2 linked regions of the Cricetulus griseus genome follow. The protein of the gene in region 2 purifies or fractionates together with the protein of the main gene of each other region. This does not show direct contact. Links are inferred from orthologs where the notes say so. Each region holds a gene or a part of one and is shown on either strand. Other genes may lie near its edges.

The links. The genes of interacting proteins can lie anywhere in the genome.
Region 1: the proteins of guanine nucleotide-binding protein G(I)/G(S)/G(O) subunit gamma-8 (region 2) and Gnb5 purify together in Homo sapiens (co-immunoprecipitation; 3 studies listed by BioGRID and IntAct, with this or other methods). This does not show direct contact. The link is inferred for Cricetulus griseus from reciprocal best matches to the Homo sapiens genes GNG8 and GNB5.

The regions. Positions count from the first base shown.
Region 1 is NC_048597.1:186,572,061-186,576,006, reverse strand, and holds the start of Gnb5 (guanine nucleotide-binding protein subunit beta-5), read right to left. Parts: upstream 2,801-3,946; 5' UTR 2,676-2,800; coding exon 2,564-2,675; intron 1-2,563. UniProt on the Homo sapiens protein: Enhances GTPase-activating protein (GAP) activity of regulator of G protein signaling (RGS) proteins, such as RGS7 and RGS9, hence involved in the termination of the signaling initiated by the G protein coupled receptors (GPCRs) by accelerating the GTP hydrolysis on the G-alpha subunits, thereby promoting their inactivation.
Region 2 is NC_048602.1:11,528,007-11,532,231, reverse strand, and holds the start of guanine nucleotide-binding protein G(I)/G(S)/G(O) subunit gamma-8, read right to left. Parts: upstream 2,801-4,225; 5' UTR 2,233-2,800; intron 2,103-2,232; exon of another isoform or gene 688-2,102; intron 40-687; exon of another isoform or gene 1-39. UniProt on the Homo sapiens protein: Guanine nucleotide-binding proteins (G proteins) are involved as a modulator or transducer in various transmembrane signaling systems.

The DNA of each region.
Region 1 (3,946 bases), on a different chromosome or scaffold from region 2:
GACAGAAAGACAGAGAGACAGAGAGAGCAAGAGCAACCAAGACCTCACTGTGTCCCACCAGGCCTCAACAGCCCCCCACTGTAACTCCACCTCCTACCCCGCCACTGTGTATGCCTCTCCAGACAGGGCCTCAGCTTCCCCCCAGTACAGCGAGCATACTCCCCTGCCTCAGCTTTGGCTCACTATACCAACCCCCCCCCAAACACACACACACACTTAACAGCTTTGCATTGATTTTTGTTTCAAACTCTCTTCACTGTGGCAGTCTATCCTTTTTTTATACAAGTAAGGAATCTGCATTCAAACATCCTTCCCAGGAGCCACCCTGGGTCACAGTCTCTGCGAGTTTTTTGAGTTCCCCCATAGCTCATTTCTCTCTTCCTTACCCCCTCCTTTCTATCTAGAGAACATATATAGCCTAGAACTTATTTTACCTATTGAATGCCTGACTCCCAGCTTTGGACCAAAGCCTTCTGAGGGAACATTCTTGATTTGTTCGCTGCACACAGAGCCTGACACACCAGGGGCTGGCAAACTGTGTGAGAAAAAGAGAGGTATGTGTGTGTGTATGTGTGTGTGTGTGTGTGTGTGTGAGAGAGAGAGAGAGAGAGAGAGAGAGAGAGAGAGAGAGAGAGAGAGAGAGACTGTTGACAGAGAAGCAGGGGGCAGAGATAGAGGAAAAACTAAAGACTAGGGGTGGGAAGAAGTTAACTCCTAGACAGGAAGAGTCAGTCAGGTGTGCAAGGGGGGTTGGATCTATAAACTCAGGGCCCAGCTTTCTACCTTCCATTTTCTCTGGGGGAGGAAGTAAAAGGACAGAGGCCATCACAGAATGCTAAGTGGCTGACAACTGCCAGGGCAGAGAGCTGTCTGAAGATACTACAGGGTGACTTAGCCATTGGCCACAGAGGCCTCCTGGTGCCTCCTCTTCAGCAGCCTCATGAGTCCAGCAGCAGGAGAAAGGAAGGCTGTTGGTCCATCCAGGGCTGAGGAGGAGGCAGGAGGACCAGATAGAGTCATGGTCCCTTGGCAAGACTTTTGGAAGTTAATCAAAGTATCTGTGCTGATGCTAGGGAAGGGATAGAAGACAGGTCAGGGCTGAGGGCTCCAGGGGAAAGCCAGGGTTCCCAAGGATCCGGGAGAGACTATGGTCAGAGTAGGACTCTAAGTAAGAGGATGCAAGACAAGATCACCCCCCCCCCGTGGGTGGGTGGGTGGGGTTTCTAGAGTGAGGGGCTCATGTCACAAGGGCCACCTGTGTAGCACTTCAAAATGAATGCACAAGCCACAGGGCCAAGGAACGTCTCCATTTCCTCAGCTGTCAAACAGAGAAGTCTGAGGCACTAAACCAAGCTTGAGACAACATCACCACCTTCAGCCTACAAGGCTCTGAAAAGGGGAAGGAGAGACTGACCCCATGTCTCCACTCCCTACTTCTCAACTTTGGGGTGGCAATGTGCTTAGCATGGGCCCCCTTTATCCAGACTCCCTGGCAGAGGCCACATGGCCTAGTTCTGGCTAATAAAGTACAAATAGAAATCTTAGGAAGAGAGGAATTCTGGGAAAAATTTTGCTTTCTCCCTAAGAAGGAAAAGAGCCCGGGGTTCACATTCTCCCTTCTTCCTGCTTTGGATACAGAGGCAAAGTTTGGAGCAATGGCAGTCATCTTGGAGTCACTGGGTAAATGCCAATGGCTGATGGTGTGGAAAGGCCTGGGCTCTTCAAAGCACCAAGCAGTTGCACCAGACCTGATCTTGTTACCAGAAAAACAACTCACAATTTAACTAATTACATCTGGACACATTTCGAAATCTCACAGAAGCGGGCTGCCCTTCTAACAAGAGAAGGTCCCTGGGAAGGCATAACAGGGGTTCTGTACTTCCAGCAAGTTTCAGGGAAAATAAATGCTAAAGGCCCCTTACTGAACCCCAGTTCCCTTCTCCAAATGGAACTTAAATTAAGGCTGTGACCAATTAGGAAGGCGGGGACACCACACATAAGTGTGTGTGTTTGCGGGGTGGGGGGTTGCTGGCTAACAAGCCTTGCTCTGCAAGGGAGGGTGAGCGGGTAAGACCACTGCCCAAGCGGGGTCTCCACTCTGAGCTCTGCGGAGGACCACCCCTCTCTGACCACCCCTGTTCTGAACCGGGATGGAAGCGGGCACGCCGGCAAGTTTATTTACACCGCGCTGGCCCTTTTATGTCAACCGCGGCATCCATCAAAGGCTTCTAAAGGGCCTGCCGCAAGCTGAACGCGTGGATGCAGGAGGCGTCTCCGCTTCCCTCCGCCATCAAGCTCCCTGCCCCCACGGACAGTGGAGACACGGGAAAGGGAGCCTCATATCCGCGGGGAGAAAGGATCTAACGGGGGGCAGAGTCCCAACGGGGAGCAGTAAAGCGGTCCCGCCCCGGCACACCTGCTGGCTGCGCCTCTCCACCCGCCCCCTGGGAGGGGCTCAGCATCCTCCCACCCCGGGCGGTGGAACCGGTCCCACGCGGGTCCTCCAGCCCCTCGGAGGGTCGGGCCCACGAGAGCTTCCCCGCCACCCCCGGCTCGCACTCACGCTCCACGTCATGCAGCTTTGCCCGCTCCTCCTCCAGTTTGCCCTTGAGGCTCTCGGCCTCGCTCTTCAGCGACGCCAGCGTCTCGTTCTCGTGCAGCCCATCGGTTGCCATCTTCGTCGGGATGCAGCCGGGAGACAAACGCAAAGCGGGAGATTGAGAGCCGACGCCGGGGTGGCCGAGAGGGCGGGATCAGCAGCAGCCTCCGTGACCCCGGACGCCTCCCCGGGTCCGCCCCCTTGGCGGTGACGCGACCGCGGCGGTGGCAGACTTCCCCGGCTCCGCCCTCCGCGCTCTCCCTGAGAACCAGGCGGGGCTATGCCCTGGATGGGATAAGGGGTGGAGGCTTGGGGGAACTGAGGCTCACAGAACAAGCTGTGGTCCCAACTCCTCTTTCTTCGCTCCAGGGGAGCCTAGAGAAGTCGACACAACCCAGCCCTCTGCATCCCTGGGGACTTGAGGCAGGATGCGTCAGAAACCTGTCCCACAACCCTCTAGCCAGAAACATTCTTTTAAAAATGAGTTCTGGCTGCCGGGGTCCTGGGATGGGGCAGCAAAAGTAGGGGTCGGTGGCACACCCTGCTGGAGTCGGAGGCGTCCTTTCCTCTGGAATGAAGTCTTGCTTATGGTGACAGAGTAACAGACTACAGTGGCTCCTCTCCACCTACACTTCCCTGGGCTTAGGTTCCCTGGTGACTCTTTTGATGCTCACCGAAGTTGCTCGAAAAACCAAAGTAAATAAAATAAATAGTTCAGTTAATGCTAGCTTATTAAATGGATGTATAAAACATGCTACATAAGTGTAAGTGTATTCATATAAAGTGTAGATGTATAGCGAGCAAGGGCTCACTGGTGAAGAACACTTGATGATCCTCCAAAGGACCCAGGTTCGATTCCCAACACCCACATGGTGGCTCACAACCCTCTGTAATGCCAGTTCCGGGAAGCCAATGCCCTATTCTGGTTTTACTGACATCAGGCATGCCCCATGGTGCACAGACATACGTGCAGGCAAACCTCTAGTATACATAAAATAAACACACCTTTTTAAATTAAAAATTTAAAGATTTATTTTATTTTATGTAGATGAGTGTTTTGTCTACATGTACGTCAGTGTACCTCAAGGGCGCAGCACTCCTGTCGGATCAGGAGATGGTGCATTACCACCTGTTACCAGATGGGGGCCCTTGTGAGCCACAGCTTTGAGCTCAGCCTGGTGACTCTTCTGAGACAGGCAGGGACTGATTTCCAGGGCTGAGGACATTTTTGGTGGTGATCTGAAGCCTGATAATAGCCACCTTTGGCAAGGATAAGATGCAATGTACTTTGAAAAAAAGAAGTCAGGATTTCTGTTCAGTTCCTACCAGGCCCAGCAGGCTTGGGCT
Region 2 (4,225 bases):
TCCCCAGGCCAATTAGCAGCGACTCCAGGGAGAGCTGAGAATTAAGATCTCGGCGGGAGGGGCGCAGAGGGGGCCTCATTAGGGCCTCGGCAGCAGCTGCCCCCTCTGCCACCCTCAGGGACCCACTCCCGCCCCAGCCTTGGCTACCTCAAAGGCTCTCTTGCTCATTAGCAGGCAGGGGAGAGGGCTGGGGCAAGCCAACCCAGCCAGCCCTGCAGAGGGGCTTGGAGGATAGAGGCGGGGGGGGGGGAGGACAAGAGGAAAAACCAATGGGGAGGGGTAACAATGTGACAGAAGGGGAGACAGGCATGGAGAAGGAAAATAGACTGAGGATGGAGACAGATTTGGGGGGAGAGATGATGGACGAAGACGACGCTAGGGAGAGGGAGGGAAAGGGGGGGTATAGGGAAAGAAAGAGGCACGGAGGGAACGGGAGCGGAGGAGATAGGGAGACAGGAGGGGTGGGGGGGGACCCAGACAAGCAGTGTTAGAAAAGAAACGGAGCAAGGGAAGAGGAGAGAGAGGGTGAGGGATAAATAGACGAACAGAAGGACAGAGGGAATGATGGGGACCCATGGAACTATAGTCATTTATTCCTTCATTCACCCATTCACTCATTCAACCCCGGACAGACCGACGGTGGTGGCCACCAACCAGCCACTGGGACCCCGGAAAGGAGCCTCCTACCTGTTGCAGCTCAGGGCTGGGATGACTGGCGGGTGACAGGCTGAGAGAGGCAGCGTCTGGTCCCCTTCCCAGCCCCACCCCCTCCCCTGGGGTGCAGCTCCTCAGGACCGCCTCCTCCTAGGCACCACCTGTCTCCACGCCCAGGTTTGTCTCTGTGGGTCCTCTCCTTGCCTATGTATCTTCTTCTTCTTCTTCTTCTTCTTCTTCTTCTTCTTCTTCTTCTTCTTCTTCTTCTTCTCTTCTCTCTCTCTCTCTCTCTCTCTCTCTCTCTCTCTCTCTCTCTGTGTGTGTGTGTGTGTGTGTGTGTGTGTGTTTCATCCATGTCTTTCTCTCTCTAGAGTCCCTCTTTCACACTGGCAGGAAAGGATAGCCCCTCTAGGTAAGTATATTTATGCACACAGGCCTCTCCCGTGTGTCCCATGCACCCTCACGCCGCTCGCACAAGCAAACCGACAGTCACCTCAGCATCACCCCATCGCAGAGACGCTCTCAGCAGCACACAGACTCAAGTCACTCACACAGGGGTGCTGAGTACCTTGCTGGGCCGCAGAGGACCTTGCTGGGCTACAGTGCTCAGCACAATAATACTCGGCGCCAAAGGTCTCAACACACCGCCCAGCCCACCGCGGTGGCTCGTGGCGTCTCACAGCACAGCCTGCCATGGCCAGCAGCACTGGCTGGCACCACTGCAGTCAGGTGCCCTCTCTTAGGGTGTCAAATGTGCGTATTGTCATCCTTACAAGCGCAGTTTCGGCTTCTCTTCAAGCTCTCATTCACACCTTTCTCCAAATCTCACGTGGTGGCATACAATACCGGTTCAGCCTCTCCGCCCAGCGCTCCATTGCTTAGTGTGAGGCGGGACCACACGGTTTCCTTTCCAGGGGTGCCTGTGTGTGGCCACATTTACTCCTGGTGAGTTTCCGGACACACATGGCACACATGGTCGTGTGTCCCCCAGCCACAGGGTCACATGTAATCCCTGTCAGACCCACACACTGTCTTTTGGTGTCATACACTGTTGACACACAATGGTGTGGTGTTGCGCGCGCGCGCGCGCACACACACACACACTGGCCTGGACATAGTCTTTGCTGGGCCTCAAATGCTTGCCATGCTCACACTGTCTCTTCCTCGCTCAGCGTTCTCCCAGTCTTACCGTTGAGTCCCCAAACAAATAATTGCATGCTTTCGCACAGGCAGCCACAGACGCAGGGCAGCCTCAGTGCCACATGTGACCAACCAGCTCCTCACGCGTGACCCACCAGTGTTGTGGCAGACACACTGTTACATGCTCACACGGTTGTCCACACCGGATCCCCCTGTGTGCCTCCCTTTTGCATCGCTGGCTCATGCCATCACTTGGGTGGACTCACTCTGCTCTCGTAACACACACGAGCTCTCCCCCGACCCCCGACCCCCCCCCGCCCCCGCTTACATACATCATGGGCAGCCTCCAGTTAGTTTCTCTCCCAGGCCCAAGGCCACACACGCTCACTCAGTCCCGCTCAATCCCTCCTTGTCGTTCCCAATCCCACTGTGTCACACCGTCACACGTCGTCCCCCTGGTGCCCCACACCGCCTCCGAGGCGTGCCCTCACGCTGGCGTGGGTCGCACCACCTCTGGATGCCGCGTGGGACAGACGCCAACCACAGCAGGCACCACGGCATCACTTTCTTGGTCTCTCGTTCGCCCTCGCGGCCCCCCACTGCTGGCCACACGGGGGCGCGCTCGAGCCAAAGTCACTGGAGGAGCGAGCGCAGAAGCCGCCAAGACGACGAGGCATCGCCGGCCACCAGCCTTGCAGAAGATAGAAACCAGAGATCGGGGGGTGTGGGGGTGTGGGGGGTGGCGAGAAGGATGAGAGGAGAAATGGGGTTCCTAGGAAGGTGAAAAAAAAAAAAAGGAAGGGATCAGAGGGAGAGGACAGGGAACTTCAGAGAGAGAGGGGTGAGAGGGGCGGAGAGAGACAAGCGGGACAGCGGGACAGAAGCCGGCAGGTCCAGGGAGAGGTCACAGGAGACAGACACACGGACTGAGACTTGAAGACAGAGCCGGGTCTCTGCCAAGTGAGATTCAGAGCGCGCCTTTCCCGCCCGACCACGCGGCGGGGCGCGGGGGGCGGGGCAGCGGAGGGGGCGTGGTGTGGGTGTGGCCGGGGCGGGTGTGGGGCGGGGCCTGTAAGGGAGAGAGGGCGGGGCTTGGCGCTCCTTCCCATCCTGGCTCGCACCGATGGCTACTGCATCCCTGGGAAGGAGGTGGAGTCCGGAGAGGCGTCTCAGTCGCACGCTGACAGCTCAAGCCCGGGTCGGTTCTCACCGCCCGCACCGGGAAGCCAGACGCCTGCTCGGGGAAAGCTTCTGACAGCTCCGCCCCGCAGTACCGGGGAACGGATCTGAAGTCTCGCACGTGCTGACCCAGAGCTCTGCATCCACGACCCCTCTTTTGACTTTGTGGTTCTGAGACGGTCTCCTTTAGTTCGCCCTGGACTGGTCCTGAACTCATTCTGTGGCCCAGGCTTTCAACTTGGCGACCCTCCTGCCTCGGCCATCCCTAGGGAGCTGGGATGGAGGGGGCCTGAGCCATGCTGATAACTTTTTTGGAACTGAGATATTTTTTTTTTTTTTTTTGGACCCTGGCTCCCTGCCCCCTCCCTCGTGGGCTCGTAGGGCCAGGTTGGAAGGAGAACGCGGTCCACATCTGGAAAGCATCAGGCGCGCCGCCGGACGTGCCAGGGCGCCGGGCCGGGGCTGCGGGAGGGGGAGGGGAGCCAAGGAGCTTCCCCCCCTACCCCCTTCCCCCACCCACCCCCGCCACCAGCCGAGCGGTGTCTGCCGGCGCCGAGGAGGGGCCTGGGCTTGCGCCGAGCCCGGCGCCTCCCGCAGCTGGTTTTCATCCCCAGATCTGGCCTAGGGTGCCCCTGAGGAGGAAACTCAGCTTGCTTAATGCTGGAAAGACAGGGTGATGACCCTGTCTCCCGACCAAAGGCTAGAGGGAGGAACAGGGAGGACAGACGGACACAAATGGATAACCTCCAGACCCCTCCTAATCTACAGACCTCAGCAGCCTCTCTATTAAATATATTTAAATGATATATACTTACATTAAATAAGTAAATATATATATTTGCATTTTATTCATTGTGTGTGCCTGTGCCCCCGCCTTGCTATGGAAGTCAGAGGACACCTTGTGAACCCCTCATCGTGTGGGTCCCAGGGTGGAACTCAGGTCCTCAGGCTGATGGCAAAGGCCTTCAACGGGCTGAGCCATCTCCAAGTCCTTAAGTATTAAGCATCTTAAACTCGTCCAGAATCCAGTTCCTTCCCACAAACTCCCTCCAGCTCCACTGTCTTCTTGGCTTCCACGTCTGGCCTTTTGCCTCCGACCCTGTCAGCCTGTAGAGAAGTCACAAGGCCTTTGTCTTAAAACAAGTCTCAGAGTACCCGTAATCCCAGCACTTAGGAAGGTGAGCCTGGAAGACTGGAAATTCCAGGATAGCCTGGACTACTTAGTGAGTTCCATCCTAGCTGGTGTTAGACT